Styela clava: one gene and its partners. The protein of the gene in region 4 purifies or fractionates together with the protein of the main gene of each other region. This does not show direct contact. Links are inferred from orthologs where the notes say so. Each region holds a gene or a part of one and is shown on either strand. Other genes may lie near its edges. The genes, in order: histone deacetylase complex subunit SAP18-like, nuclear cap-binding protein subunit 1-B-like, survival of motor neuron-related-splicing factor 30-like and splicing factor 3B subunit 1-like.

Evidence for each region.
Region 1: the proteins of splicing factor 3B subunit 1-like (region 4) and histone deacetylase complex subunit SAP18-like purify together in Homo sapiens (co-immunoprecipitation; 3 studies listed by BioGRID and IntAct, with this or other methods). This does not show direct contact. The link is inferred for Styela clava from reciprocal best matches to the Homo sapiens genes SF3B1 and SAP18.
Region 2: the proteins of splicing factor 3B subunit 1-like (region 4) and nuclear cap-binding protein subunit 1-B-like purify together in Homo sapiens (co-immunoprecipitation; 3 studies listed by BioGRID and IntAct, with this or other methods). This does not show direct contact. The link is inferred for Styela clava from reciprocal best matches to the Homo sapiens genes SF3B1 and NCBP1.
Region 3: the proteins of splicing factor 3B subunit 1-like (region 4) and survival of motor neuron-related-splicing factor 30-like purify together in Homo sapiens (co-immunoprecipitation; 5 studies listed by BioGRID and IntAct, with this or other methods). This does not show direct contact. The link is inferred for Styela clava from reciprocal best matches to the Homo sapiens genes SF3B1 and SMNDC1.

What each region holds. Positions count from the first base shown.
Region 1 is NC_135259.1:21,874,432-21,882,728, forward strand, and holds the start of histone deacetylase complex subunit SAP18-like, read right to left. Parts: upstream 3,198-8,297; 5' UTR 3,048-3,197; coding exon 2,839-3,047; intron 664-2,838; coding exon 544-663; intron 108-543; coding exon 44-107; intron 1-43. Other genes in the region: uncharacterized protein LOC120332010, read left to right, coding at 4,075-8,297. UniProt on the Homo sapiens protein: Component of the SIN3-repressing complex. Enhances the ability of SIN3-HDAC1-mediated transcriptional repression. When tethered to the promoter, it can direct the formation of a repressive complex to core histone proteins.
Region 2 is NC_135261.1:13,146,129-13,154,920, reverse strand, and holds the start of nuclear cap-binding protein subunit 1-B-like, read right to left. Parts: upstream 3,426-8,792; 5' UTR 3,304-3,425; coding exon 3,252-3,303; intron 2,785-3,251; coding exon 2,580-2,784; intron 2,085-2,579; coding exon 1,928-2,084; intron 1,445-1,927; coding exon 1,323-1,444; intron 738-1,322; coding exon 557-737; intron 52-556; coding exon 1-51. UniProt on the Homo sapiens protein: Component of the cap-binding complex (CBC), which binds cotranscriptionally to the 5'-cap of pre-mRNAs and is involved in various processes such as pre-mRNA splicing, translation regulation, nonsense-mediated mRNA decay, RNA-mediated gene silencing (RNAi) by microRNAs (miRNAs) and mRNA export.
Region 3 is NC_135260.1:11,000,334-11,008,263, reverse strand, and holds survival of motor neuron-related-splicing factor 30-like, read left to right. Parts: upstream 1-5,222; 5' UTR 5,223-5,306; coding exon 5,307-6,059; 3' UTR 6,060-6,677; downstream 6,678-7,930. Other genes in the region: winged helix repair factor 1-like, read left to right, coding at 6,723-7,538. UniProt on the Homo sapiens protein: Involved in spliceosome assembly.
Region 4 is NC_135251.1:15,526,164-15,534,121, forward strand, and holds the start of splicing factor 3B subunit 1-like, read right to left. Parts: upstream 3,224-7,958; 5' UTR 3,123-3,223; coding exon 1-3,122. Other genes in the region: ERI1 exoribonuclease 3-like, read right to left, coding at 3,830-4,567. UniProt on the Homo sapiens protein: Component of the 17S U2 SnRNP complex of the spliceosome, a large ribonucleoprotein complex that removes introns from transcribed pre-mRNAs.

The DNA of each region.
Region 1 (8,297 bases), on a different chromosome or scaffold from region 4:
GAATGTTATATGACGGACATTCCCATAGTGCGGATAAAATTACCTGTAAAGTAACGTTGTCATCTGGCCCCTTCAATCCTGCCATTGTTCGACCAATGTCTTTGTACCTATAAAAATATAGTGGAGAAATATTGAGCGTTCCATTGTTTAATTAATGATTTTTCACCATACTGAGAATAACCAATGTTACATGATACAGAATATTAAAATGGAATCAAAAATGGCATTTCAGTGTGATGGAGTTGCGTTAAATTAACTAAAAAAAAACCTCAATGACGACGGTGGGTATTTTTTTAAACTGTTTTTAATAATATTACTCTGAACACACACTCACTCACTCAGAAGTAAAGAAGACTCATCTCTAAGCAAAGTTACGGGCACTCACTCAGAAGTAAAGATAACTCTGAGTACTCGGTAGTAAAGGAGAGAAAGGTTATGAAAGACCATTCAAGAGTGCATGAGACAATATCTGAGCAAGGTATGGGCGCCACTGAAATATCAGAAGCTATTTGATAGCTTTACGGTGAATACTTTTCAACTAACCTATGGCGTCCATTTCTTTCCATATAAACTGTAGAAAACTCAAACTTTGTTCCTTTCCTTCGAGCGTCAGGATTCACTTCCTTCACCAGACTTGTTAATTCTTTCAATGTTGCATCCATCCTGTGTAAAAAGGGATGAGACTAGTTAATTTTATATATTTAATTTCGCTGACCAAAGTTACGAGCACTCACACAGGAGTATGGGAGTCTCATGTCTGAGCGAAGTTCCGAGCCCTCACTCAGATTATTCCTGGATAAAACTACAGGCCAGTCTGGATTTCATGGCCTTTTTGAACGAGAAATAGAGCGTGCAATCAGAAATTCCCGGATACTGGTACTGTTAAGTACATTTAGATCAAAACTTAAAGCACAATTATTGGAATTATATTAGCTTTCGTGCAGGACATTCTAATCTCCAGGCATTATTTTTCAGATACAAAGGGCTCTTTGATGATTGGTGGGAAAAAGTTGAGAAAAGACTGGCAGATGAAAATATCTCCGTTTGACTATGTCATCATGAATGCAACCAACTTCCATTGCTCAGGAAACAAGTCTCGGGCAACCCACTATTCCATTGTCTCTAGTTCCTGCATATTTTTATGGTTTATTAGCTTTGTACAGTTACTTCATTGGATCCTTGCTAATGAAAAGATCATCTTATACAAATTAAATTTATCATGCTGAGACGTGGTGACAATAAATTCCACACAATAGCGCCTATGAAGTTGACCTGCATTTTATGCCAGACTCTATTGTTCTCATTACTTTTGTCGCATACAATTTAGAATTACCAACTCGAGTGTAAACAACGAATTTCTACATATGTCCTATATTATTTACCTTTTTAGAACCTAACCCTTTTGTGTCGTGGTCCCACCCAACGTTGGTTTTTGGCTAGTTCATGTCTCGAATAAATTTTTACTTGTTTCGTACAATCTACCGTAAAACACACAAAAATGCGATTTCGATTTATACCCTCCATCATCAGAACCTTGGACATGAACGTGCCATAAACTGCCTATTGTACATATCATCGTGGTGCCGTACCTCTTCGTCCTGTGTATTGCACAAGAGTTTTATTTGTAATTTTCATGTTCGTTGTCCTACTATAACGCAGCAGTCCTAAACTGCAGTTATACTTGTTAGCGTGCATGTCGCACATCTGTGTCTTAGGCCGGTAAGGTCTTGAAAATGTATCCAGTCTCTTTTATACCGTTTAACTATTATGCAGATACCGGTACTGTTACATTTTTGAGGCAAATAAACATACATCGGTGTAAAATTATTGAATGAAAAATAAGTTGGGTCAGAGCAAAATTGGACGACCCGAACATTATTTCTATACATTGTCATCAATTTTGGGAGTGTTTTTGCGTAAAATTATTGGATGAGCAATACGCTGAATCAGAGCCGTAACTGACCAGGAGTCAGTCGGCGAGGAGTCTGGCGTTTTTTTCGCCCATAACTATTCTCACAGGATTCCTATCATTCAACACGATGCGCCATACCGCCAAGCAATTGTGGTGATGAATTGTGTGAATGTATTATGTGCAATAACACAAAAGTAAAACAGACTCGGGCCCATGAGTAATATTGACAAACTCACAAGAATGGCGTTATCTTAGACGTATGTGCGATGCAAAACAGGTACCAGTGAAATCATGTATACGAAACACGGTTATCATGCATCGTTGATTGTGAAGGGTTCAGTGTAGTTTCTTACTTCTAGTGGGCGTAGCATAACACAGTAATGTGCGACTGTGCAAAATCGAGCAAGCTATTTCTCTCATTTTCTCGTCGCAATAATCCCGATATGAGAGTCGAGTTCTTTATCGTCGGTGCAGATGCAATTTCAGTTATACGTTGGCAAGCTCTTTGGCTAATTGCGATTTTGAGATGGCGTAGTCAGGTGGGGGTTAGGAATGACATGTGCAAAAATTGTTATACTAAGCCCATTAGGAGTACTCGAGATACGAGACCAGACACTTTACACACGCCTATTTTATACACTCTCTCTCACAACAAAGTGACAGTGAACAATTCAGCAATTGGAGTTTGATAATTCAGTAATTTAAGGACAGATATCATCTGACAATAAAATCAAAAACTTAGATGGAAAAAACGCATTATTATATTTCTGATTAAGCTTCAACTGAACACTAAACATGGAGAATTTGTTCGGAATATGATTAAATCATCCCAATTTAGTTTGCTTTATGTATTTCAGAAAACTAATGTCATTGATTAGAAGTCCACGATTTAAAAATCAACAAGATTGTACAAACACAACACTTACCATGTGTAAATCTGTAATTCATTATTTGGCACATTCCCTCGCGCATAATCACTCAGAGGATGGTGTCTTCCATTGCAAGTAAAAACCCTCAGCAAGAGTGGACAGGTTTTCTCTCTATCAATAGCTGGCTTTGGCGCCGGCTTTTCTTCCGCTGGCGCGTCCTGTGCTACACTCCTGAGTCGGTCTTCCAGTGAACCAGCTTGAGGCATAGCTATGTTTTATGTATTACTAAATTATTATCAAAATAACAGACGAAAGCAGAGATAAAACCTAGCAACTCTATCGTCACGTAACACACAGAAGAGCACGCGCACTAGAGGTACCGCGAATGAGCAAATCCGTTGGCTGTCAATCAAAATCGTATTTCCGCGTTTTAGGACGGCCCAGGCCAAGCAACCAACTTGCCTAATGTTAAACAGCTCCATGGACGCCATCTTGTGCCATATTTGAAAAACGCGATACAATGGAGTCTTATGGGGAATTTTCTTCGTGTTGTTGTACCGAATCAAATAACTCAGCTGTTAGTGGAGCAAGACTGAAACCGAAGGGTGGATTTTTACCGCCAAGCTATGAACTATGTAATAAAATATGAAGTACAACATGTCGGCAGTCCGTGTGGTCCTAAAGTTTAGTTTAGTTAGGATTCCTTCAGTTGTACATCGTCATCGTGATGATTATCGCTATCTCGTCGTCGTCATCATTACTGTGTTGTTTTCTCGTATTCGACGTGTCGCATTTTTCTCTTTCACGTGTTATCGTGTTACGTATTTATTTTATTATCGTCCCCTAAGCTCAGCAAGATGTTTAAGATTGCATTTCTGGTGGTAGCAGTTTAGGATTTCATTTCTTGTTATGGCAGTTTAAGATTACATCGCCTTTATAACGTTGAAGTTTGAATTCATTCAATAGTCTTCTTTTATACTGTATTTCGAATCGTTCGATATAACATTATGATATTTGCATGTCTACAGCTCGTATGGTATTGCATTTATAGTTACTGTTTTACCTTGGTTGTATATCTGTCGTTTTGGGACTATGCTGTTATATGGAGTTGTTTTGTGTAAGTATTAGTTTTATATTCTGTATCATTTGTCTTTGATTTATTTGGTGCTAATTATTTCATTTGTATTTTAGTCAACCGTTTTGAATACTTTCAATAAAACGAGTCTGGCAAATCGACTTATCATTTGAGGGTCCCAAAAGTGACAAAGTTGAACAAATCTCCTTGCGACGACGATGAACGAAGCAGATGAATCAATTACACAAGATTTGAATAGACGAGAAGCTTCTTCTTCGCCTGCAGTTCCTCTCGCGGAAACAGACGACGGTAACTCTGAAACTATTGGACGCAATGTATTATGCCACGAAAGAGTCCGACTACAAAATGAACTAAATGGTTTGTGCGACAGAATTTCAAAATCGATTACTGAAAATGCTCAAAATTCTATCGCTACTGATCTTAAAATTAAACTTCATATTAAACGAATTGCTTATGACCAAGTGATGGATAAACTCATTCCGACTACCCGTAATCCAAATGTTTTGAAGAAATATGAAACTGGAAGGCAAATGATGTTATCGAAAATCGATCAAATTGAAAGCAGAATTAATTCTTACCTTGACGAGGAGATCGTTTCTGATCACGGGTCTGTCGAATCCAATACAAGCAAATGCAGTGTTGAATCACTGAAGCGATTGCAACTTGAGCAAGAACGAGAGGTAGAAAGAGCCGATTCTCTTGTACGTATGGCTAAACGAGACTTTCTCACAGAAGAAGATACCATTCGCAATAAAATATCAGCACTAGAGCGTCGCCTTGATATAAACGAAAAAGAACGAATGGCAGATCTAACACGTCGCCAAGCTGACGAACTTATGCGTGAAATTGAACAAGAAAAGACTGAATTGGCTACCAAAAAGATGCCTAAAGATAACTTCCGTGGCGTCAATATTGAATATCCGTTAGAGTCAACACGCAGACGAAGTGCAGTGAACTTTTTTGTTCCGACGAAGAGTCAAGTGGCAACAAATTCAGAAAAGACCAAAGAATTGCACTTCCCGACAGCACGAACTTACAAACGCCCGTCTCCTGCAAACAGAATGCTCATACCACAAGAAGCAGTCGACGCGTGGATTGACCACTTGGAACCTAACCAGTCTGGTAAATTTTCTGTTAATTCTTTTAATATGTCAGTAGAGGAACAAACTATGTTATCATTACAGTTGAATTCTAGAATATTGTCCCAGCACCATTTATCGCCGATTACGATTCCTAGTTTTAGCGGAACGCCCCTAGAATGGCCAAACTTTATTGAGTTATTTTTTGATAATGTACACAGTTCTCTTGACGACGACGGTTCGCGTATGGTTCGCTTAGTCGCGTCTTTGACGGGGGTGGCTAAACGACATGTCGATGGCTTAGGCACGGTGGGAAGTAATTATATTGTCGCGTTGAGTGAATTGAAACATATATTCGGCCAACGGGTGACGATTGCTCGGGCCTTTCTCGAGAAGGTTGTAGATGGTAGACGAGTAACAGAATTCAGTATCCGAAAAATATCCGATTTTCATTCTGAAGTTCGCGACATTGTGATAAATTTGAAGAAAATGCGATTGCTTGCAGATTTGTATAGTATTGAAAATGTTAGAAAGACAGCAATGCGAATTCCGGCAGAACTGACCTCGAGTTGGAATAAGTTTGTGACTGATATGATTCGTGCCGACGAAATGCCGAGTTTACTGGACTTCGAGCAGTGGTTGTGGGAACGATGCGAGGAATTAGGAAATCCTTTTTCACCAAATCTTTTCAGTACTAAAATAGATCGTGACGATCGCAGACAGGCATTTCCTAAGAAGAATGTGGTATACCCTTTATCGGGTCATTCAAATCAGCCGCTCGAACAACCGCGAATGCAATGTTTCTATTGCAATGGTTTTCATTCTTTAAGTAACTGCGATAGCTTCAGGTTTAGTGCCAATGACACGAAAAGAAGATTTCTACTAAATTCACGCCTGTGCTTTAACTGTCTCGAACCTGGACATTTAGCTATTTCGTGCCGGTTCCGCAATATGTGTCGTGTTTGTCCCGGTAAGCATCATTCAGCCATCCATGGTTTGAGAGTCGTTCCTAATAGATTGAGTGATAACAATCAGCCTGATCTCCCTCCTCAAATGAGCGGCGTTGCCAATTCTCATGTTTCAGGCGTTAATGGTGTTCAGTTTCAGCTTTTGCCAGTCGTAGTAAAAGGCCCATTGGGATCCTCTGAATATGCTATCGCTGTTCTAGATTCTGCCAGTCAAATCTCAATAATACATCCCAAATTAAAACAAAAACTTGGTTTGAAAGGAAGTCCTAGGTGTCTAACCATTAACACCTTATGCAATAAGGGCGTTTCGCAAAATACGGAGGTGGTGAAATTGTCGGTGCGATCTGCTCACGACGAGAGTGGTCAAATTCTGATGTTAAGCAACGTGTTTGTGGTCGAGTCACGCATACCACATCCAGCTAGAATCCTTAAGAACGATCACAATATGACTCACCTGCAGGATATTCCGTTAACCGACATTGAAGCGAACAAAGCCATGATTTTAATCGGAGCCGATAATCCCTTGGCGCATTTCCAGCTTGAACGTAGAGTCGGCCAGCAACATGAACCAGTGGGTATTAAAACTCCTCTCGGTTGGACTTTGATCGGGTCTTCAGGCGCGACTAATGAAGATGAAACTGTTTCAAATATGCTGTGTTGTGATTTGCGTGACCAGTATAACATGCTGCAAGAACAAGTTGAGCGATTTTGGTCCACTGAAGCTGTAGGCACGGCGTACAATTTGACCCGTAGCGAGTCGATTGAAGATAGACAAACTGATAATTTGATGGAAAGAAAAATTAGATTTATCGACGGTCATTACGAGGTTGGGTTTATGTGGAGAAATGAAAATTGCAAAATGCCGCAAAACGAACACGTAGCGCTTAACAGGTTCGAAAATCTCAGAAAACGACTCCAAGGAAACGAACGTTTGCGAAACTTATATTGTAAAGAAATGGCAAAGAATATTGAAAGGGGTTGGGTGCGTAAGCTAACTTCAGATGAAAAGGCGTTTCGCGGTCCTCGAACTTGGTTTCTGCCTCATCATGGCGTTGAAAATCCCAACAAGCCAAATAAACTAAGAATTGTTTTTGACGCGGCATCTACTTGCTGCGGCGTCAGTCTGAACAGTCGATTGATGTCCGGGCGCGATTTGATCAATAATCTAGTCGGGGTGCTTTTACGTTTTCGGGAAAGACCAATCGCTATAAGCGCCGATATAGAAGCCATGTTTCATATGATTCGATTGCCGGAAGATGATACGGATTCTGCACGTTTTCTCTGGTCGGAAGACCTTTTTTCAACCAAACGGCCAGATGTGTATAAATTCTTAGTTCGTATTTTTGGAGCTGTGGATTCACCTTATGTCGCAAACTTTTGTTTGAAGAGAGCTGCGTACGATAGTAGAAACAAGTTTCCTAGAGACGTAATATTAACTACCGATAGAGACTTTTATGTCGATGATTTACTTACTTCGAAATGGAATGTTGATTCCGCGGTATCGACAGCTAAAGATATGATTAAGATGTTACACGATAAAGGATTCAACTTGACCAAGTGGGTTTCGAATTCTAAATCGGTTTTACGTGAAATATCCAGTGGACGTGTCGTCACTAATGTTGACTTAGATCTGGACAGATTACCTGTTAGAAAAGCTCTGGGCTTGCATTGGGACATCGAGAAGGATTGCTTTATATTCGACCACCAGAAATTTACTGAATTTACCACGAAAAGAAAGGCCCTTAGTGTAACCAGTTCAATATTCGATCCATTAGGATTTGTAGCACCAATCATTTTGTATGCCAAATTATTACTGCGGGAATGTTGGCGTGACAACTTAGCTTGGGACGAAGTATTTGATAATAAGAGATTGAAGTGTTGGGAAAATTGGATAAATTCGCTGAAATGTTTAAAGAGTTTTTCGATTCCACGTCAATTTAAAGGTGTTAAATGTGAAAGTTCCTCGTATGAAATTCATATATTCTGTGATGCATCAGAAGTGGCATATGGCGCGGTAGCATACATAATATCGAAGCATTCCCGGGAGAATTTTCAGTGTAGTCTTATCGCGGCTAAAGCAAGAGTCGCACCTATGAAAGGTATGACCGTGCCTCGTTTAGAATTGCAAGGTGCTCTCTTGGCCGTGCGATTGTTAAATTTTCTCCGAAAAGAACTATCCCTTCCACTAGGCGACGTACATATGTGGTCCGACTCGACTTGTGTATTGAGATATTTGAAAAATAAAACTCGAAGATTTAAAACATTTGTAGCCAATCGCGTTCGCGAAATACTCGATCACACTCGGCCACACCAATGGAAGTACGTCGACTCCGCACAGAATCCCGCTGATTACTGCACTAGGGGAATGACGGT
Region 2 (8,792 bases), on a different chromosome or scaffold from region 4:
CCAGCTGTCATCAGATAGTTTTACAATCTGTGCCCACAAGCACTCAAGGTACTGAAAAAATCAAAATTCAAAAATTTCTGTTAATTAAGTAGTGAAGTATCAGTTTAGATCAGTTTTTCCCCAAGTTGATTGACTGTGGACCAAAATTAGAAGCGGAATGATATTTGCAGGCCTGGAAAGTGGCGATACTGGTACATATAATTAAGATACCAGTATAATTGAATTTTTACGAATATACACATGCTTAGACTTTGATAATGACGCAACAATTGGCAAAATATCTAGAACACAAGAAGAAAAAAAATATAAAGTGGTGAACTATTTTACTCAAGTTACGCTGGCCGTAACAGCCGAAAGCAGGAGACAAATAAAAAATACTGTCGACTCATACATTAAAGTTAATAAAACAAGTTTTATGGCACATATTCCACTCTGATTTTGTAAGTAAATTGCAAACAATACATGCTAAGGTTGACCCTAGTGATCACAATCCATTGCGAGGCAAAATATTGAAAAGAATTGACATCCCTTTAACAATAAATGCCTATGATCTCACCTCTTCTTGTGGATGTGGTTCATCTGACGACCAGACTCTCAAGAAACTGTGATGGATTTTTTTTCTTTTCCTAGTGATGTATTCATGCAAGGCAGATAAAACTTGATTTAATTCTGTTGACCTCTGATCTTGTAACAAAGCACCAACCCATGGCAGAGAAGTTAATATGGAATATGCATACCTGGAATAGTGAACGTATATTTGTTAATTTTATTTAATAAAAGATACAGCCAAAGGTAGCAATTTAATAATATGCTGAAAATGAATCAACTAAGTGAAAAATTATAAAATAGAAATTCAAGTTATTTAAAAATTGTTTTACTATTCAGAACTCAATCACATAGATACCGATTTTAGGTCTAAATAAGCATATCTACGCCCAATATAATGTTTTAACTTTTAATAATTTTGAAGTAAAATTGTGAAACCAACATATAACATAGTAAAAAACATCAAATGAATAAATATTAAATTACTTAGTTTTGGATATATCATTGCCAGCTGATGTGACTTCTGGCTTCGCTAATATTTGTCAAATTTGATCTTACCTGTCTACCTTATTTTGGATATTTACTTTTCTTTATTTTGGATATATATATGTTCCATCCACATATTTTCAATGTGTTTTTCGAATTATACATACTTTCGCTCTACTATCTGTTATTTGTAGCTTATTGTTAATTAGTTATTTTTGAGCTGGGGCGCGATACTTGACAAATTCTGAAAAGGGGGTCCGGCTTAAGAACCACTGATGTAAAATACTCACCAATCTCTGCGAGCTTGAGGAACATCTTCTTCTCTAATTACAGTAAATAAATTTTCGTAAAATCCAAACAATGATTCAGGAGTAACCATGTGGCAATTGACAAGATCTGCAATAAACTTCACCTGAAATTGAAATACAAAATTTTAGGAACGTCGACAATAGCAAACAGTATACTATCATGAAGTATCTTCTGTGTCTGCAATGTAGAAAGTTTTATACAAACACGAGAAACATCAACTATATTTGGAAATTTATAATGCTCTGGCCTCTGGGTGATTGGTACGCATGACCCCTTTTTTCATAACTAACGGCACCATCTTAGTTAGATTCTACATGTTCTAAATCAGGGGTGTGCAACCTTTAATAATAGAGAAGGGCCAGATACAAATAACTGGGTAAAACTGCGGGCCGCACCTTTATTTAACATAAGCTGTCTAGTAGTTGCAAGCACAAACATTTTGGTTGTTGATCTCATGACATTCGTTGCTCGCTACGCACAAGCAAGCTGTTAGGACACGGTAACTTCAAAGGCATAAATAATACTAAGATACCACTACTACTGCATACTACTAAGATACCACTGCAGAATGAATATATATACTTACAACATGTCGAGCATCATCGTACTGATTAGCATTTAACAATCTTTTTAATTCACGAACCATCATTTCAATAAAATCCCCCCCACAATTGTAATTTCGAACATTTAGCAAACCAACAAGAGTTGTGTATATCGTACATTTTTCTGGAAGTTGATAAGAGCTGAAATACAAAATGTAGATGTAAAAATATAAATAAATAAATTTATATTTTAAGGGAATTTTTAACTGTCTGTATGATTCCTTGTTTTTTTTCATCATAATTCATTGATCATACCTCTGTAGGTTATTTAAAAACCTATATAAAAACATATATTCCCTTTTAATTCAAGAGCCCACGACCTGGCTTTGAGCAAAAAACACTCCAAAAATTAATACCAATGTATAAAAGGAAGTAATGGCTGAATTTACATTAACATAAATTTTCCTTTTATATGTGCTGTTATATGTTTTATTCATTTTTTAAGAATTACTCATTCTAAATGCAACCTAAAGTGCTCATTTGAATATAAATATTATACCAGAATATATAATATATGGCAATCACTAATCACATTTGGGTCCCAAATAAAACTGAAACTGCAAACTTTTAGGTTCATAAATATGAAGAAAATTTACATTTACTAAAAAAATCACATATAAAAAATAAAAAAAGTACCATAAAACTAAAATCCTTAAAATTTGAGGTTTGAAGTTTGGTAGATCTGCTTCAAGTACAACCGACAATCCTTCCAAATTGCTTTCCAAGGATGAACTGCTTTTTTCTCCAACTCTACAAATTAATGATTCAAGTCTCTTCTCAATTTCCTCAGAACTTTCCGTAGTCTTTCTTCTCTTTGAGAGATTTCCACCACTTGCTTCAGCTGGATATAATACATAATTTATTGATAGTCTAGGATTCGAAAATATTCTAATAACATTTGAAAATATTGGAACATTGTTATTCAAATTTAGCAGAATTTGCCACTTTATGAAATTTTTTGCGAGATTATACGATATAGGCAGGCAGTCCTATTTGTATAAATGCAGAAATGAGTACACATGTACACGGATAGTCCTATACCTGCGTCGAATAAAATGTGGTTTGTGAATCGGACATGCTGTCGCTAAAAACACACAATTATGTGAAATATTTTGATATGTGAACAAATGTCCAATGAGATGCCAGGATGCAAAATTATACGGAAAAATTGAACGATTCTCTGTCAGTAAAATCTTCTAAGACCACTATATAAAAGAATAAAGTGTGTAATGGGAGGAATGTTTTTACATTTGTAGTGCTCATTTTAGTAGTTAAACCTGTATACTGAAATAACAATCAATACGATACCTTCATCTTCTGATGACGCGTCCCTTGCATCATGAGGTCTTCTTCTTGACATTTCAACCGAAGGATAGAAACAAATCTCAAGTTTTTTTAGTTATACATTGACTAAATTCTTAAATTTGACTTTCTGAAGTACTGGTACCGGTACTACAGTACTATACAGAAATGACAGAATAAGAAGCTTTTGAAGTAATGTCTCTGTGAAAATTCAAAGTTAACATTCTGACATTAGGTCTCTGTGGGGCATTCGAAGGGATTATTGGAATAGCAGGTCAGCCTACTTGTTTAGCAAATAAATACGGTCAAATTTATTTAAAAGGTTAAAATCAAAATATATTTTTAAAATCATTATTTCTGAATTATAAATCAATTAATTATCAATCATTGATTTCGGTAGTCATAACATACAACTAACATAAAAACGTAAAAGTACACGCCCGCCCATCAAAAAAAATAATAATACAAGCATACAAAAAACACGATTCAGAATCGGGCAAAGCTTCCACATTGCTGAAGGGATCTATGGACAACTTATAACAAAATTTTGTTGGATAAACTTAATGTAGTTAATAAACTTCTAACGACTTCTTCCTTCCAATTATGGTAATTGCAGAATTGAGAGATCACTAGAATTTGGTTATTCTAACAATAAATATTGTAAAAATCTGCTGAATTGACTGATTGAGATACTGCTGTACTGAGCTAAAAGTCTCACACTATTATTTTTTTTGATGGGATAATCTAATAAGTAGCCTATAATATATAAGTACAGAAGTATAAGTTTTTAGTCTATATAATGAAACATAACTAAAAGTACTGAAGTATATAACCAGGCGAACAGTCATAAAATAAATAATCCGTTATTAATTTTTCACATGTCAGTATGTCTATTGCATCACCAATTTTTAGTATATTGAGTTATAATATGTACGGTACAATAAAAGTGAAAAATTAAATATATTCAGATATTAGACATGTTCATTTTTATACTAGTCAATTTATACACACTTGATTCATAGTTTAAATACAATTTCTAAGTAGACTATTTCAAATTCCCTGACAAAATTGGGTAATTTTCTATTTTTTTCAATGTTGAGTCTGTAAGTGATTGCAGTTTTTATTTGTTTGATAACTAGGTGCTGATCAGGGGGGATACCGTACCTTCGAATATAACAGAATTTCGTTGTATCCATATTTTATACCGGTATCTAGTATTTTATTTTTATTGAGAGAGAGAGAGAGATTTATTTTCGTCAACCAGAAAAAAAAAACAGTCATAACAATAAATAATGGTAACAATATATACACTTTTTTCGGTATAGACTGGAAGGAGCGATACGACCATGCGGTCATCGGAGTCAGCTCCCTCCAAGTTTACGCTGATTAGTTCACAGTAAAATATGACTATTTGAAGTGGTTAAAATTCATGAAACAAAATTTGAAAGAAAAGAAAAAAAAAAACGAACAAAACAAAAAAATGGACTAAGCAATTGTTCGTGTTAACATCTATATATACAAACAAACAATTTGAATAAACATGGTAATACAGAAAAGTTATAAAACTAACAAAATAAATGTGGTATGATGCAACTAAGAAGCCCATTACTATTTTTCATTTGAAGAAATATTGCATTCATTTTGGACTGGGAGAATAATTTATGAAGGGATATTACAAGCATTCGTCATGGATACATATTTGGAAAATATATGTAAGCGGGATCGGGATGCTATTTATCGTTTTGATATTACATGTGATGTTGTTATCTAATTTACCTAAATTGCCTGCAATTGGGCTACAAATTTCAATAGCCATCGACATGTGATGATTAAAAACAAAATGAGAAAATAAGAGAAGGGCTGAGGCGCATTATACAAATTGAACAAAAAAAATATAATTATTTTAGCAAAGTAAATTTTTAAAAGATAAGATTTGTCTTTGAGAAATGAAACAGTTTGAACGAATAATCAACTATTACACAGACTATTATTTGAAAGCGAGGTCTAAGTCCCATGAATAAAAAACAAATTTGGCTATTGGACTACTACACTCAAATGTAATGTTGGACACATAACAATTGTTTGAGTGAGTAAGCGGTAAGCCTCACATATAAAAATAAGTTTCCGGAGATAAACAAAATGGTACTCATAGTCATGTGAATATAATATTGGGAAACAATTGTATAAAGAGTGGAATCAGCCTTATAACAAGAAAGAATTTAGACAGATGGGTGACTAATACCCACAAATACATATATAAGTACCAATTTATAAACTATTATATGCCCCAAATGTGAAACAATTTTGGTAATCTTAATATCGAGTGGAAATTTGGATAAATAAACATTATTTGAAATAGAGAGGGTCAGCCTCTCAAATGCACAAAATAGACCTCAATATAAAGAATATGGCAAGGGTTCAGCCTCAAAATTAGATGGCAGTTATTGCAAATACACCAATGGTTCTCATAATATAAATATGAATAAATAAACTATTATTTGAATCAGCAAGGGTTTGCCTCAAAATTAGATGGCAGTTATTGCAAATACACAAATAGTATTCAATATATAAATATGAATAAATAAACTATTATTTGACTTAGCAAGGGTTTACCCCAAAATTAGATGGCAGTTATTGCGAATACACAAATAGTATTCAATATATAAATATGGATAAATAAACTATTATTTGACTTAGCAAGAGTTTGCCCCAAAATTAGATGGCAGTTATTGCGAATACACAAAAAGTATTAAATATATAAATATGGATAAATAAACTATTATTTGACTTAGCAAGGGTTTGCCCCAATATTAGATGGCAGTTATTGCAAATACGCAAATAGTATTCAGTATATAAGTACGGAGAAATATACTATAATTTGAATCAGCAAGGATTTGCCTCAAAATTAAATGGCAGTTTTGGCGAATACATAAAACAGTACTCAAAATATAAATAGGATAAATAAACTATTATTTGAATCAGCAAGGGTTAGCTTCAAAATTAGATGGCAGTTATTGCAGATACACAAATAGTACTTAATATATAAATATGAAGAAATAAACTATTATTTGAATCAGCAAGGGTTAGGCTCAAAATTAGATGGCAGTTATTGCAGATACACAAATAGTACTCAATATATAAATGTGGAAAAATAAACTATTATTTAAATCAGCAAGGGTTAGGCTCAAAATTAGATGGCAGTTTAGATTAGATTGCAAGGGCACCAATGGTGCTCATAATATAAATAGCCTATGGATAAATAAACTATTATTTGATTATTTGATTGGCTCACCCAATGAGTTAGAGAGAGAGAGAAGGTTTATTTCATTTTGTCAAACCAAGAAAACAATTTATGCACACATAAACAAATATCAAAAAAAAAGTTTTCGGTATAGGCTATGACTGGGGGGCAACGATACGACCTTTGGGGGTCATCAGAGTCAGTTGCCACCCAATTATATTAAATAAGAATAAAAATGAGTGATTTAAATAAATAGCCTATGCAAAAAAAGAATAAATGTCTAAACAAAATAAGTCCCTATTCCTTTGAATTCCTAATCCATTTGTTGAAATTGATTTTCATAGTTTTTTCAGTTTGTTTCATCAGTGATTATTAGTTCACAATATTCTGAGTCTAACGAAGTAAACGCCGCAACCCAGACTGGCAGATTCCATGACAATGCACGCCCGAGGGCGCTAGCGCTCCGCAAAAATGCACGCGAGTGGAGTCAATTTTGCACGCCGAAAATTTGCAATTGCTCACCAATGAAACCGGGTAAAATCAGTAATATATATATTTACGGTCAAAATAGCTTTTAAATCAAAAATCGAGTAGGCTAATAATTGAGTCCCACCGAGTGTTTATGTTACACAAGTTTGACGCCCGAACAACACCGGTACCCGTTCGTGTCTTTGTCTTTTTTATTTTGAATATATGTTTGTGTTGAATGTGGGTAAACTGGCGCATGTATATTTACGTATATTAAAACTTTATAAAGGCTTTGTCAGTTTTCCCCGATTTTCCCAATCTTCTCTGTGTTAATTGTTTGTATTTTGTGTATGATTTTTTTGTGGAAAAATTAAAATGTATGCCAACAAATCGTAGCTCCACGATCGATTGTTGACTACATGGTAGCTTGCAAGATTCGGCTTGATCGAAAAATGCGTAGCAAAAACGACTTTATTTCATAATTGCTTGGTGGTGTGGCGCATCGTGTTGAATGATAGGTGTTAATAATGTCTTAGTTATATGTTACGGTCAACGGTTATATGTCAACTGAATACGCTTACACTTTTTTATTACACCAGCGCAACACACAACATAAGATGCTTACAGCAACAGAACATATTAGAGAGTGACGCAACTGCGACACGTTAGCACCAGACACATAGCTCAATCAATTATTATGGACGTTACTCGACAATGCATTATTAGCCATCATCAACAATAGGAATTCGGTTAATATAATTATGTGCGAGTAGATTGCTGGACTCCTCGCCGACGCTAGTCAGTTACGACTTCCCCCACCAGCGAAGTATAGAAATAATGTTAGGGGGTTAAAGGTCAAGCGTCAATTCTCCTCTGATATAACGTATTTTTTATTCAATAAATTTAAGCGGATGTACTAAACAGTATCTAAAGTGGCAAAAACACTCTCAAAACTAATGACAAAGTATAGAAATAATGTTTGAGGGTCAATGGTCAACTGTCCATTTTGCTCTGATTCAACGTATGTTCTATCCAATAATTTTACGCGGGTGTACTAAACAGTATCTAAAGTTGTAAGAACACTCTCGAAATTAATGACATAGTATAAAAATGATGTTTGAGGATCAAAGGTCAAACGTTCTGCTCTGATTCAACGTATTTTTTATCTAGTACTTTTACACGGATGTACTGAGCAGTATCTAAAGCCAAAGTCAGTTGCACGCGGGCACAGTCGTTTTGCACACAGTAATCTTTGATTGTACGCCGGGAATTCTGATTTGCATGCGGGAATTTCTGATTGCACGGCCAATTTCTGGTGAAAAAGGGCAAGAAATCCAGACTGGGCCGCAACTGCTTCATCTGCTGGGATAACGACAAACAAAATGTGATGTGGAATCTAAGCCTTAGATTCTGAGGCAAGCATTTCAGTGTGCTTCTCTCTCATGTCTGCGAGATCAATTGAAGGCTCTCTGGGTTCGAACAGAGCCATTCCGATAGACTTTCAACTTTTCCGAGGCGCTCAATGCATTTCCTATTATGGGATTTGACAGAAATCAATTTATTGCGTCGATTTTTCTTGCATTATATTCGCCTGATCTTAATTCGTATCTTATTAAGTATGAAACGCTTATAGATCCCAGTCCACCATTCTGTGCTAATTTTGGCTTTTTTTACAATTTGCAAAAGTCGTGGTCTCGTGGACGAAAAATATGGCCAATTTACCAGTCAAAGGCGAATATTAACAACCACAGAACATTACCCAATGTGGCTTATTGTAATCGCTTTCCATTTTCATGTAGTCAGCCATATTTTATCGTCTGACTCCATTTTTATGTAGC
Region 3 (7,930 bases), on a different chromosome or scaffold from region 4:
TCGGGAAATATTTTAATACTACCTATCGTGCTCACCTCTCTACCGACGACTTCCAACTCGCCAAACAAAATTTCATCAACCCATTGTTTATATGTTTTATCAGTCTATCATAAACTTGTTACGTTCATTTAACACCAATAAAAATTATGTTATTCTATAAAAAAAAATACTCACAGAAATCAGAGAGGTAATATTGGCAAGTTCGCCTTCAACAACGTAAGTTTCTCTTGTATCAAGCTGCAAAAAATCAATTCCAGGTATTGTATTCAGATATCAATCAGATCAATTCCAGATATTGTACTTATTTTAAAAATAAATATAGGAATATTTGATGTCAAATAACTGAGACAATTTACTGGCTTGAAAACTAAAACTCGTTGAAATATACATAGAAAAAAAATATTGTCCTTAGCACAAAGTTTACAATTTTATTGATTCAGAATGCAAAATAATGAACAAAATTCAAACGCACCTCTCGAATCTTGATTTCATCTTTATCTTCCAAGCTCATATCCACCGATACTGATAAACTATCAAACTGAAATAAAGCCGTTAAAAAATTTATAATTACAAACTATGGCAAAAATGAAATGCAGAAATATTTTTGAATCGTTTTTTTGCATTTATTGGATATTGTTAAAATATAATATAATCTACCTCTCGATCATTGTATTCAACAAACTGGAGACTGGAGCTTCTTCCAGCGATTTAAAAAAAATGTAATAACGATAAATAAATATAAACTTCGATTTTATTCATAATTATAACTGACGTGTTCTAAAGTATGTCTGACAAAAAAAGGAAACTGCCATACTTGTAAATAGTTGCAACTTGATATCGAAAGAACATCGCTCCCATTGAGTTCCACATAATCCTATAATTATCAACAAGTTAAATTAAAAAGATGATAATTATCAATTTAGTAGACTTACTCATAATTTAAAAAACGACATAGGTAAAAAGTATCAGATATACGTTTTTTCATAAGATCATGGTGTAGAATTTGTTGAAAAAACACGATAGAAATTCGGTTCCCAAATCAGTAACAAAAATTTCTTGTGAAGATTTAAATTACCATGATATTGTATGATATATGCGTTATGAAGATTTCAAGTTTAACCAATATTTCCCAGGACACCTTCTTCAACGTTATTTTCAACTTGTTCTATCATCCAGTTCATTCTTTTAGCTACTGCCATTGCAATCTAGTAAATATATTTTTGACAATATGAGTAGCGTATAAGAATTACATAAAACAATTTTTGCACAGCTCACCTGAATCTCTGTAGTTTTCTCTTCCTCAATATTGGCAGTTTTGACCCATAGATATAAAATTGTAACGGTAAACTTAAATTGATGGATATTGTGACTACCTAACTGAATTTACTGCTATAGCCTACTAGTCAGCATGATATTTTTGGTGAGTGTACGAATAAAGTGCCAAACCCAATATATCGATGGATGAAATTCATCTCCAACATTAAATTCCACTCTGATGTAAAAGGAAGTGGTGTGTTTCCTGGCGAACGGAAAATGAACTCGGCTGAAACGAAGAAGAAATATGTGATTTTCATTAACTGTGGGCCGACACGCCTCAAAAACCTTGTCGAACAATTCTTAAGTGCACTGGAGTTTGAAGAGAATTTTTAACTACTCTATGTTAATATATATATCGATATTCTAGCTATACCTTACCCTATTCCAATCTAAAAATAAACCTGGACTCCCCTCGGCCTGAAATTATAAAGTATTAAGGCAATGAAGGCATGAACTAAAATATATATAACTATGATAATAGAACTTTTTACATGAAAAATAATTAGTCCGAAGGGAGGTAATAGAGCCAGCATGTAGTCGGCGATTCACTTCCATCTTAATCCTGTAAATTAAAGCGTAAGTATTCTGTAATAACAGATATAATATATAACGGTCAATATTAATTTGAAATCTTTATCAATAATAATCTTACCAATGATCTAATTTTAGCTATTCTATATCCATCTGAAAAAAGAGAATTGAGTTTTATTGAGATGTTATTGCACGCAGTGCATTCGAGTAACAAAACAATAGTTAACATAAACTCACTCTTTTCATGTAATCGAGACTATTTCGTTCCCTCAATATTTTTTCGAAAGGATGTGGAGCAGTTGGTTCTCGACTGAGATTCTGAAGAGGAGTGATAAATAATACAGCAAGAAGTGCTTGAGCGTGTCGTGAAAAAAGGAGAGAGCATAAAGTATATTATAAGACCGCTCGAGACGTCTACGATTTTCATTGCTAGTAATAATTCGAAACTACAACAAAATGCGCTGAAATTAATTGGTATTCACAACTATCTTGAATTGTTGTACCCATGTCCTATACTCAAGTACAAGAAGATGCGGAACATAAATTCGTGTTTTATCCTCGTTTTGTGAATTCTAACAATATATTTAGGAAAATCTTCAATGATTTTCGAAAACCGCTAAAACAATTCTAATTATTTATTTTAGTCGGGAAAACTTTCAAGTCACAAGTTATAAGTTACCTCGTTCAAAATCGACGGTGATAATTGATACCACAAAGATGTTGCTTCCTCCCTTTTTTTGCAATGTCCAAAACAACATGCGTCTTGAACTAGTCTGACAGGCAGGCTACAGGCGGAACGACTTTCTGCAACATCAGGTGCCTGTGGCGTCAATTGATAAAAAAAAATATAGGTATGTTCCATGTTGTCTGATCAACTCCACCGGCATTAACCTTCTTCCTGCCGTCTTCCCTGGGCCAATTTGCATGAGTTATTTTTTAAATATTTTATTTGTCAACCATCAAGCCCTAAAGCTTCACTCGTGGCTTTTTAAAAGCGTGTGCTAGAGTTCTATTTAGCAATATATCTTTAAAACACACTCCTCTGATAATATTTTATTTTCTCTGCGATAAAATTTCACGCGTGACTCGCATGTCACCATTTAAAAGCCGTAAGATGCGACTGATGGTCAAGTGGCAAGCTGCGTAGCAACCCACTTCAATACTGTCAGAGCAACAACTAATAATTTTGCAGTTTGTAAATTTGTGATAATATATATATATAATTTATACAAGGAAACTAACAAACCGAAGTTTGTATAGTGAGCTAAATTAACTAGAACTGGTTTATAATCTGATATTTCGACCGCGAATTTAGTGAAACGTTTTTTTGAATATCTTGACTGATGTGGTATTTACTGTAATATGTAACGCATTTTAAAATGTTAGATAAAATAGTGTTGAACGGAAAATTAGTACATGCTTTTCACAGCCGATGTGGCAAAATCGCCACCTTGTTCCAAATTACTAAAGTAACCGATGTGTTGTCACTTTTAGTTAAATGTAGCTTTCGGTAGATCAATCCATAATTTTTTATGAGGAGTTCATCACACTTTCACTTCAAACAAGGCTATTCACACGCAGCCACTTGTGCGCAAGAAGCTACTATTGTAGGGAGGGCCGTTTCCTTCCTGTTTTGGCTTTCCCTCCTTCGTTTTTCATAGCCGGAACAATGTGATGACTGATGACCATTGGTTTTGGTCGGAGATATTGACCCTGCGATGCCAATATAGTTAAGTTCTATATGTGCAACGCTTTACTCACTATTTCATATTTCTTCAAAGTTGAATGAATGAAGGAGTTGACCCATTTCCATCATTCAAGACTACAAAAAAAGCAGTAACTTTTTTACACCCTGGATGATTTGAGCGTAAATATGGTTTGAGTGATTATCACTAGAACTCAAGATTTGTAATCAGGGAATATAATATTTGTTTGTTTATTACAACTCACATTCAACACGCAAAAACTTGGGATTTTTAGGATTTTGGGGATTGGGATTGCCAGTAAATAGAAATACCGTATAAATATAAAATCCAAAATCGAGACTTTTGGAGAATGTCCCAACCATTGAGGTGTACACTACAGTATTTATACACCTCAGTGGTCCCAATCGATCCTTGTGATTGGCTTGTCACGTGACGTGACTGCGCACCAGATTTGTTGTTTGACGTTTTGGCGATGTTTCAACTCAATCCTTCAGTCCCTTCCCTAGGTCTGTAGGTTCGTTCGTTGGCGTTTTGAAAGATCATTTTCCAGTTTTAACGCGAGCGTCTAAATTTATAATGTTGCCGGTACTCAATCAATGTACAGGTGCCGCGTATCGGGGTACGTATGACGGTATGGCAGTATCTGAGTATGGACAATCACTATCAGACTATGGTAAACCCTGAATAGGATAGGATAGTATTTACATATTTATCCCAGGGGAGAGGAAAGCCGATAAGACGGCTTATCCATATGGCAAACCACGGCCTCTCGTCCGGTTACAATTCCTAGTCGGTATCAGGGTATGGGATTAGTTATATTGTTTGTTTTCGGAAGCATGGACTTGGTGGTGGAGGAAGCCGAACGGTAACCGACCAGCGGTTACGTGAACCACCCAACGACGGCAAGGAGTCCAGCAATCCTCTCGCACATAACCATCCCTGCATGGGATTCGAACCTGCGAACCCACGCAGAGTAATTAGAGGTGCGGTGGCGAGCGTATTTCTAACACTTAGCCCGTTGAGCCACACCGCCACGCCGCGCTGAATCCACAAGATTCAGAGATTTGGGATACCGGTACCTTCATACCGGTATTCCATTTTTTTATTTCTGCTTGACCTTATACTGTTACGGTACCTAACAGACTTCTAGGCTAGTAGTAGGTGTGGCATAACAATTTTTTGATAAATGTATTGAATGGTATCTAAAGTCAAAGTCAGTTGCATGCGGGCGCAGTTGTTTCGCACGCCCGCAAGGGAATTCTGATTTGCATGCAGGAATTTCTGATTGCACGCCCGATTTCTCATTCAAAAAGGCCATGAAATCCAGACTAGCCACCCTCGAAACCTTAATAATAAACTAGTGTACGGTAGGCCATAGAACAACAGGTGTCATAAACCTGTACACATTATATTAATTAAATTTTCATCAGGTTTAGTACGGTATAATTTAAACTGCTATATATCTCAATTTCCCCACTACATTATCATTAATTTAGTGTTCACTTGTAATATTTGGTATATCTGTATAAAGCCCAGTCCTGTACCTGTAGTCTAACAAATAAAATGAATTTAAATAATTGTACTGATTTCAGGATTTATACAATTCAAGTTTGAAATATAGGAATGAGGTTCTTCGTATATGTACCGGATTGCAGAATTAATAAATGAATAATTTTACCATTTTGCAAATACAACAGTTTTGAAAACCTTTAGATCTTTTAAACCTTTGAATTTTTATTAAAACAAAAAATCATGTCTGCCGAATTGGAAGCAAATTTGACAAACTATAAAGTGCAATTAGCGCAAGTCGAGGCAGCTCTATCAGCAGATCCTGAAAATGAAGAACTTAAAAAATTGAAGCAAGATCTTGAAGAAGTTATTCAACTAACTAAAGATTTAATGGGAGTAGAAGCTGCAAAACCTTCAACGAAAGCAAAAACAACAACTGGAAAAACCGCCGAAGAAATAGCAGAAGAGACTGTTCAGCCTGACAGTGGTCCTCGTCATATGTGGAAAGTAGGTGACCCATGTTATGCAATATGGAGTGGAGATGGGAAATATCACAAAGGAGTACTCGAAGAAATTTTACCTGAAAGTGCAACAGTTGCAGTTCGATTTGATGAATTTGAGCAGCCAGATGTTTGTCAATTAACGCAGTTAAAACTGCTTGCCGATGGTGACAAGGCTGGTTTTAAATCAAAAGCCAGTAAACGGGAATTAATGATTCAACAACGTGAATATCGTAAAAAGAAAAATCAAAGAAAGAAAATGAGAGCAAAAGAGAAAGAAGCTGAATCTGAAATTTCGAAACATAAATGGAAAGAATTTAATAAAAAAATCACACATAAGTCTATGAAAGGTGCCGTCAAGAAAAGTATATTTGCATCACCTGAAGGTCTTGTTGGAAGAGTGGGAATTGGTACTTGCGGAACTGCAGATAAAGATATGACAAAATATGATGAGGGTGCTAAATATAACGCACGGCATCTTGTGCCAAAATCATGAAAGGGTGTTATAGAACTTCACACCTATATCATTTAAGTAAGATGGCATGTCTTTCAGGGATAGTATCAAGCGACATATGACAAAGTTCATAATCTTGTTACCAAAAGCATTCTTTCTGGCATTTGGATAATATGAACTGGATGAGGAAATTTATTATTTTTGGCTTGTTTTAGATTATGTGTATATTTTTGATAGGAAATGGCATGGTATTAATGTGTCCATGGATATTATGATGAAGTCCCAGTCATTTGTTTAGAGAAATGATATTTTTCATGCCTTCAATCTATTTATATGCTTGATGAATGAAACAGAATAATCGAAATAAAATATGACTGGAATTTAGATTAGATGTTTCGAATCTTGTCTACTATTTTGCTGTTTAAGTTGGATAACAGTTAAACTTTTTCTCCAGTGAAAATTAATCAAGAATGACTGGCTGTCAAAATCTCTAGAGAAATAGTAACGTCATGAGGGGAATCTTTATTATTTCTCGAGTTACAATGATGTAAATTGTACCAATGTACTTCTACTATTTTTTTTCAATCCAACTGGATGTGAATTTACTTCTGTGAAATATTCAAGCTTGTTTTTATATTACTTTATTCTTTTCTCTATAGATCAGCATAATTACTAACACTAAATTAAAATATTATTTGTCACGGAATGAAGAGACGACATACTATATTACGTGGCTCTCCTGGAAACAGCAAGAAGTCCAAAACATTCATACCTTGGAGTAATGGAAAACTAGATTCAGAAGCTAATATAACTGATGCAATGAGTGCAATTGAGCACATTAGAAATATATTTCCACAAGAACAACTGCAGAACCGGTTTCCGCCTATTGTTTTTAAACATCAATTGTATGCTTTATTGGAAAATAGAACGACAGTTGATCAGCAAGTAAATGATCTTTTTGAATGTGGACGAATAAAAATATTTCATTTGGAACATAGAAATGAGGAGCATATGATTGTATTAACAAAAGATTTTATTGCTCACGTCAATCGATATCACAATATTTCATCTAGGGAAGGACGGGGTGAACGTAAAGATGATAAGAAGTTAACTAGCAGGGAGCAAATCATATCTCGATTTTTGATCGAGGTTATTGGAAGTATATCAGAACTTACTATTACTGAACATACAATGATAAATCAATATGGATTTAAAGATAAAGACATTACAGAGTTGGTAAATGCCGGACTTCTAACTTTAAGAGATGCTGGAAGTTGGTGGTTCTCTATACCTGGCGCTGGTCAATTTATAAAGATTTTTAAAAAAGGAAGACAGGCAACAATAAGAATGATTAGAGCTACTAAGAGCAGAGAAATTCTATTAACTGAACTCAGGTCTCGTAAATCACCTGCGTCTATCAAACTTGGTCTAACATATCACACACATGATCTAGTTGGATCTGATTTGATAAAGTGCATTCCTTCCACCAGTGGACTGGTTTTAAGGATAGCAGATGATTAGCACTTGGCAGTGATCTTCTGCAATCATAGACAACTCACATTCCTGTGATAGCTCCTACTAACTGGAAGATGTTTTAATTTTGTGCCTAGATTAGCACAAATCGTCAGTATTACACTGTGCTTTTCTCTTTATATTGCAACACTTTAGTAGATATTCTAGTGGGATGCATGTCGAAGCTAAGTGTTCTTTTTCGATTTCCATGTTTAGAGTTCATACTATTTTGAAGTTCTTATTCTATTGTCTAGTCTTTATAGGTAAATCATATAAGTGGGTCATCAAAATATTTGCCAACTTTTATATTTAAGTTTTAATTATTGCAAAGTCGAAAGTGCCATTTATACAAATTTTGACAGTCATTATTCCTAATTTATCTTCTGTCTGTATTTATTTAT
Region 4 (7,958 bases):
GACTTCAAAGCTCCGAGGATTGAACCCAACACTTCTGGATATTCTTCACCAAGGTACTCATAAAGCACAACTCCAAGATGGCCCATTAATTTTTCTTCTTGACATGTCCGCATCACTATAGAAATACGAGAAATTAAATCTGCTGCCTGTTGTCGAACTTTCGCTGATTTGTTATTGAGTCGCCACAAAACAGTACCACAAATCTGTGGAAGGTACGGTTTTACTCTTTTACCCAGGGTGTTGACCACAGTACCAAAACCATTCAACATCACAATGTCTTCTGTTGTCTGTTCCTGGAATGCATACAGTATACCATCAATCAATTGCTCCTCAAGTCTGTGATCAATATCTGCTGAACCGAGATTCACCAAAATTTTGTCTATTGTTTCCATAACCATCTTTCTGTATTGTTCATTTTCATCTTTAAGATCATCCACAATCCGTTGCACCATTTCAGCTGAACCGACTTTGTTTGCAATTTCAACTGTTGTGTCAACTAATTGTCTGTAATTACGTCGATCGAGAGCCATTCTCTGGTTCCAAAAATGCTTGAAAAAGGGAGGCAGAATTTCATTTTTAATGTACTGGGGTTCAACACCATCCGTTCCACAACATTGCTTCACCACTTTAAGTACAATTTTCTTCATTTCTTCATCAGGTGACTGAAACTCTCGAATCAGGATCAACATTACTTCACGAGTGTAGTAATTTGCATACTCGGCATCCATAAGTGGAATGAGGTACCCAATAGCCTTTAAAAAAGCTGCCAAACCTTTTCCTCTATGAGTTCTGATACCTTTCCAGAGAGGTTTCAGCACACTGTCAAAGGATTCGATACCATAAGGTGTTGCAGCTTCAGCTAACGCAGCCAAAGCAAGGGCAGTGATGGTTCTTACTTTCTGTTGTTCATCTTCCAAACCATGCTCGATAATTTCAACTAAGTTTCTCAAATGTGGGAGAATGGCACAACCCATCAAAATAGCAATCTGTTGTGTAATCTTGATTCCAGTGTGACGTGCCTGCCAGGATTTTTTACTCCTGCAAACGGCTTTCAGAAAGGGAAGCAGGGAGGGAATTCCAAGGGCAGATGCGACAACAGCAAAGGCTCTTGCAGTCGTATTACGCACATATTCATCCATGTTGTCAATATCAGGTCTCATTACGGAAATCATAGTAGCAAGTCCAGCTGCTTTTGCCAAATTTGAAATAATCTCACGTCCCTCCACTCTGGCATAATAGTCTTCATCAATCAGAAGTGGTTCAATGACGACAAGAATTTTATGTACATATGGCCGAACCATATCGTCCAACTTGTAAAGAATCCTGTCGATGACTTTAACGAGAAGATGACGCTCTTGATCTTCAAGAGTGGGTGACATGAGCAATGGCAAAATTTGATTGAACAAAGGTCCTGCACCAAATTCCCGAGACTTGTCTGTTATCTGACGCAGTGCACTTTTTCTCATTGGCGGCGTGCCATTTTTGATTTTGAGTAGAAGTTTCATTATTTTTCTTTCTTTTTGTTCCTCTAAACTCAATGTTGATTCATCTACTTCAACAAGTAGTTTGTCAAAATACTGAATATCATCAGGTTTCAAGAATGGCAGATTCCCAGTCGGCTGATCAGTAATTCCTTTCATCGACTTGTCTTCAACCTGGATATGAAACCCAGTGGATCCTCCCATTGGGGTTGGAGTTGCAGTAATTTTTCTTGCAGGTGTACGAATAGGAACATAACCAGCTGGTGGTTGCAAAACTTTGTAACCTTCAGGGAACATTCCGTCAAGCTCTTCATCAGATAGTGGGCGATTTCTTTCATCAATTTCCCGTTCCCACCTCCATGCTTGAAGTTGCTCAGGTGTCATGGACATCAAATGACCAGGAGTTGGAGTAGCCATAGCCATTGCTTTTGTACCCATGGGTGTGACACCTGAAGGGGTAAAGAGTGAGGGTGTTCCTAAAGAGCCTGGTGTTCCCATTCCTGATTTTGGGGTGAATGCGCTTGGAGTTCCACCAGGGGTAAAAACTGGAGTAGCAGACCCCGGTGTTTGACTTCCCGGTGTGGCAGCAGCTGGTGTCAAATCCCATCTTGATTTTCTCTTGCTGGTACCACCAGGAATTCTCTCAGATTCGTCTCCATGATCAGCTCTTGGTGTTTCAGCCCATCCAATATTTCTGCCAGGGGTTTCTCTTTCCGTTTTGGGAGTTTCATCCCATCTGTTTTTCCTTACACTTGCACTCGGTGTACCACCGATGCCTGGGGTTGCATGTCCAGGAGTTGTAGCACCTGGAGTAGCATGACCAGGTGTGGCATCCCACATTCTGGTACTTTGTCCTGGTGTTACCATTGCTCCAGGTGTTTCGCCACCTTTTGGTCTGCCAGGTGTTTCATCCCATCGCAATGGTGTTGGTGCATGTCCAGGAGTGGAAGCATCAGCCTGGTCCCATGTCATTCGTTTTTTTGGTGCATCAGGGGTTGGAGTTGCATCCCATCGCCTCTTTCTTTCTCTTTGAGCAGGTGCAGCGTTAGGTTGAACAGCTTTAGCATTTCCATTTACATGGACATCACCAGACTTCAGCTTTTCACTAATTTTCGATCTAATTTCCCGTTCTTCTTTAGTAAGAGCTTGGTGTGTCATAACATCTTTGTACTGCGCCAATTGAGGATCAGGTGTTTTACCACCATCAGCAAAAGGATCATGACGTGCAGGAGATATAGCTCTTTGTAACCTTTGTCTTCTATATTGGTCTTCCCTGTTTAGAATAGGTTGTGCTCTAGTTTCTGCAAAAGGGTCATAAGATTCATCACTCTGTGGGATATCGTTAAGAACAGCTGCAGGAGCAGTGTATGTCTGTCGTTTTCCCAGTAAAGCGGCATTCACATCTTCAACTTCATCATCATCCTCTTGTTCATTTGGAGCGATGGATGTTACATATCCTGCAAATTTACTATTCGAACCGCCATAGATCTCCTGATCATAATGACCTTCTTGACCGAGTCCAACTCGAGCTTCACCATCTGTTGGTTGTTCAGGGGAACCCTCATCTTCATTCTTGCTCAATGCAACTTTCCTTTTTTGGATCGCCTCAATCTCAGACACATAATCATCCTTTGTTGCCATTTCGAGGCAACGTGTATTTGAATACCTTTAATACTATATTTTTTAGTGTTTTATATTATTCTAAAAGATAAAAAGCAATAAGTTATTAGCACTTTATTAGTTTTCGATAAGCTGTGCCTGTAGGCAGTATAACTCACTGCAAACAATTATAAATACTTACAGTTACAAGCGCCAATGCAATAACATTCAACAAGACTGGAGTTCATGATACACCAGTAGTTACCAAGATGGCTTTTAACACATGTCCTACTTGGCCAAAACAAACAATATTCAGCCTGATATGGAGAACAATGGATGACTTAGGAGCACTAGAAATTTTGAACATAAAGCTCATCTGGAACTCATACATTTGGATCCTTTCAAATTAATTATTTCAGCGCAAGTATCAAAAAATTATAGAATAAGCTTGTTAAAAATTGCTTGTTGGATTTCAATAAGCTATTACAAAAGAATTAGGTACCTACATATTCACTATATCTCAAATTTCCCAAAAACATTCATGAAATATTACAAACCGAATTACCAAATCAGTTTTTAATAGTAGATCAAAAAACAGTTAAGACCAGATGTGGCTTATTAACTGTAGTGTTGTAGTATCCCATTTAGCTACACACATCAACTTGGCCCCAAAAACCGCACTCCACATGGGCCACTACACCCTCAACAATTACAATTTTTGAGAAATATTCATCAATTTCACTTCAGTCCTATGAAGTTGATGTTGGCTTAAAAATATGACCTTTTTTAGACAGTACTTCCATAATACGAATCATGTTTTCGCAATCACTCGTACCTTGGTGAAGTTCACCAAAAACTTCCAAGTCTAACAATCGCAGCATAGCATGGAGTCGACCTTTGCCAAGTCTAGGCCATTTTCCCATCGTTAATGCATACGACTTGTTTATATTTACATAAGGATAAAAATATTTAGGTAAAGTCAAATTTTTCATCTTACATTCACTGGGTAACATTTTCATCAAGTCCCAATCACCAGATGTACAAAAAATAAAGTTCTTATTATCACTAAGGACATGTTTTTCCATCCAAATGTCAAACAATTGCATAACTTCTTTTAAAGTAGGCTTATCATCTACTTGGAATTGAGTAATTCCAGTTAACTGCATACAAAATTCTGATAATATTGGTTGTATAGTTGGTCGGACGAAGGAATGAAAACATTCTTCGATTTGATATGTTGATGAATTAACTTTAAATGCTGGAAATTCTATAATCTCTTGATCATAGGTTAGTTTTGATCTCTCACAAGTTGCTTCAAAATCAAGAACAATGAAATAGTCATATATCTGATGCCTTCTCAAGTCTTCCGGCTTCTTCTGCACAAGATCAGTGAGTAACACTTGTTTTTTCCTTGATATATTACGGCAGCTCAGTACGAGTGGGAAGAAACTTTGAGCTCTATTGTATTTTTTCAACAGAAGCATCATATAACTTAATTTGATCAATAGAAAAAAAAATATTCAAATAAAGTACTTATAATGGATGAAAATTTGGGGACCGGGTCCACTCATTTGATTAAGACGATGATCGCGTAATAACAGTTGCGTTTTTCTGAACTAATTTATAGTTTTGTGAGCAAAATAAAAATAACTACCCGTGGTAGTACAGCACCCAATACCTGTGCATACCTGAGATAATTGTGGTGGAATTTAGCTTAACAATGTCGATGGACCAAATCAGTGGTTGCCAACCTTTCTACCATGGTGGAAAAATTAAATAAAGTGTACTCGCAGACCGGCAAAAATTGAAATGAGTGGAACAGAACATATATTTGCACAATGTCGGACAATCAGTATATACTCTTCAAAAAAAAAGGGTACACTTAAAAACATTTCACATGAGGAAAAACTATCAAATAATGTGCAGAACAGAAAGAGCGCGCATGCTCATTTTCAGATTTTGGAAACTTGCGAGATTAGACGGAGCGATTCGCGATGAATCGGAACCGAAAAAGCGAAAAGTGTGATTACTCGGCGCCAAACGTCACCGGGCCATACCACACCTATCAAACAGCAATATGACGGCGGAAGAGAAATTGCGTAATAAACCAACGTAACTACCTCTTTTCGGCTTCAGTAAAGCGATTGGGGCGGTAGAAAAACACATTAAAATTTTCGCGGACCGGCGGTTGGGAAACACTCGACTAAATGACACTTACACTGACGATAAACAGTCAGGATTTATAACAAAAAATTAGCGGTGTTAAAAAGTGTGTGTGTTGTTAATGAGGACTTCTGGACTTCGATTTTACTGCATAATTTAAAACATTTCACTGGACGCCTAGCTGCTCTGTCTCTGTGCTTTCCAGTTTACCACAATTCATAGATAGGCCTATATGAATTGTAATGTTCATATCGGTACAGTAATACCGGTACAGGTTTCTTTTCCTAGAAGCAAGAAAATCACTAATTTCAATCATATCTGACTTACCATTTGTCTGTTTGTACTTATGACTGTTTTACAATGATACATTCATAAAGCTGTAAAGCCTAATTCCTATGTACTTGGATTTTAGAAAACTGAATAATATTTATGTCGGTACCTGTACCGGTACCTATGAAGCTATGTCTGTATGTGGGGGATTTTAGAATGTATTCGGAATTCCAGATTTGAAAATATTTTTTAGAATGTACGGGTATTCGAAATACTGAAGTATTAGATGATGGCCATCACTGTTAACTTTTCAAGCTCTACGTCTGTACATCCTTATATCGATACACATGTCTGCATGTAAACACCTGCAGACCTGTCTGTCTGACATTCTGACATTACATCATTATGTTTTCTGCCAAAAAGGTAAAAAATCTTGAGCCACAGCTCTAGTAGTGTAGTAGCAACTTTACCACATCATTTTTTGTATGTATAATGTACCGCACTTATTCCTCCTCCTAATCCACTTCTTCCAATGAATAATAGAATTTGGGGCCAAACAAATAGTGGCCAGCCCGTAACTTCCATCGACCAACGCTACATGGCAAAACGTTTTTCATGCGTTTCAGTATAGAATAGAAAGTATGTTGCCACATCTACACTTGTATAAAAAAAAACGAATTTCAAATATTTGTACCTTTACGCATTAAAAGTATTTAAAATTAAAAACTTACTAAAATAATAAGTTTAATACACATAAATTAAAAGTATATCAATAACATTTGAAAGTTTGTATGCGTGTATTGGCTGTAGTTTATAATTTAACATGGGTTGTTCTCCATTCTATTTTTCAATTATTCCCCGAAATTAAGTTCCATTAGTATTCCAATATTAGCCCTATAAGACTCATTTTATTTCTGACTTTTAATGCCTTCATGTACAATATTTTACTTGATAGGTACTCTCAAAGCGGGAACACTCAATTTACCTTTAGGCACCTCCTCTCAAGTATTTGTACACCTATCTCATTCCAGCGAATCGATGGAGTAGGCTATATTAGCAACATCTATGGGTGTTCATATTCACTGGAATCATACTATTAAATTTACAGTACGCGTCATTCAACAATATAAAACCCACAAAAAGCATATACTGTATTATTTTGCATATTCCAGCTTAAGCTCAATTTTGAGATCTTGCAATTTTTATTGTTTTTTTGTACCTTATAAACTGTCGTTTTAATTTATTTTGTTACTTTGTAATGATTTTGTTTAATGATTTATATATATGCTGCGCAATTTTTTCACTATTTACACAAAATGTTATTGTGTGTTCTTCAATCCGAAATACCCGATTCCACACAATTTATGCTCCATTTACTCAAAAATACTTATTCATGTCAAATTTGATCAATACCACACTTGATCAAGTGTGTAACATTTCCGAAATTTTATTTAGCGTTAAACGCCTATATGTTATTGCCTATTGTGTATTTCCTTTCCATGGAAACTTAATGTTGTTTTTAGACACACCTGAAATACGTTAAAACATATCTGAACCATTTTTTATTCATGTTTATTGATATTACTATCGGGTGGTAACTGACCCGATGACCGCATGGTCGTATCGTTGCCACCCAGTCAATACCGAAAACTGTTTTGCTTTTTGATAATTATGTTTTTTTGTTGTGTAAATTTTTTTCTGGTGAACAAAACAAATAAACTCTCACTCTCTGTATTGTCTTTCGTGGCCGGAAAGCAGAATGAGTATGATTGACTTGAATGAAAAAACACTTGTTTGTTGCTTTAAAAAATATATACGAAAATCAAGCAACAAAAAATTCTACATATACAAACATATTGGGAATGTAACAAAGTAAAAAAATCTTCAAATGCAAAAAGAGACCTATAATTAGTGGTTCAAATGCGTACTGATATCAATCCACATTATAGGTGAAATCAAATGTCACCGACATTTGTCACCGGTGGACATGATAATTTGTAAATCAACAGGCGAATGTCCATTCATCAACATAGCTCACATTTGACTTGGAAACCAGTGAAAAACACCTCCACAACTACAGGCATTATTGTGACGTAACAATGTAAAACCAAACACAAGTGACGTAACAACTAGCTTGACGTGAATCTTGCTGGATACGTTCTTCATCCTCATTCTCTATCAGAGATGTACTGGTACTACTTTTGCTGCCGATACTGACAAGATACCAACAAAACAAAAAACGCTGATACCGATATGCCGATATCATCGGATACCGATATTCCGGTACTATGTAATTATTAGCTCACGTGTGCAGGGCAGACGGTCTGTGAGCGTTGTTTGTATGTAGTAGTAGTAGTAGTAGTAGTATTTTATTTCGTCAACAATGTCAAAATCAAAATACAACATACAACATTTCAAAATTAATTTCCAAGGCATTGTGACGAG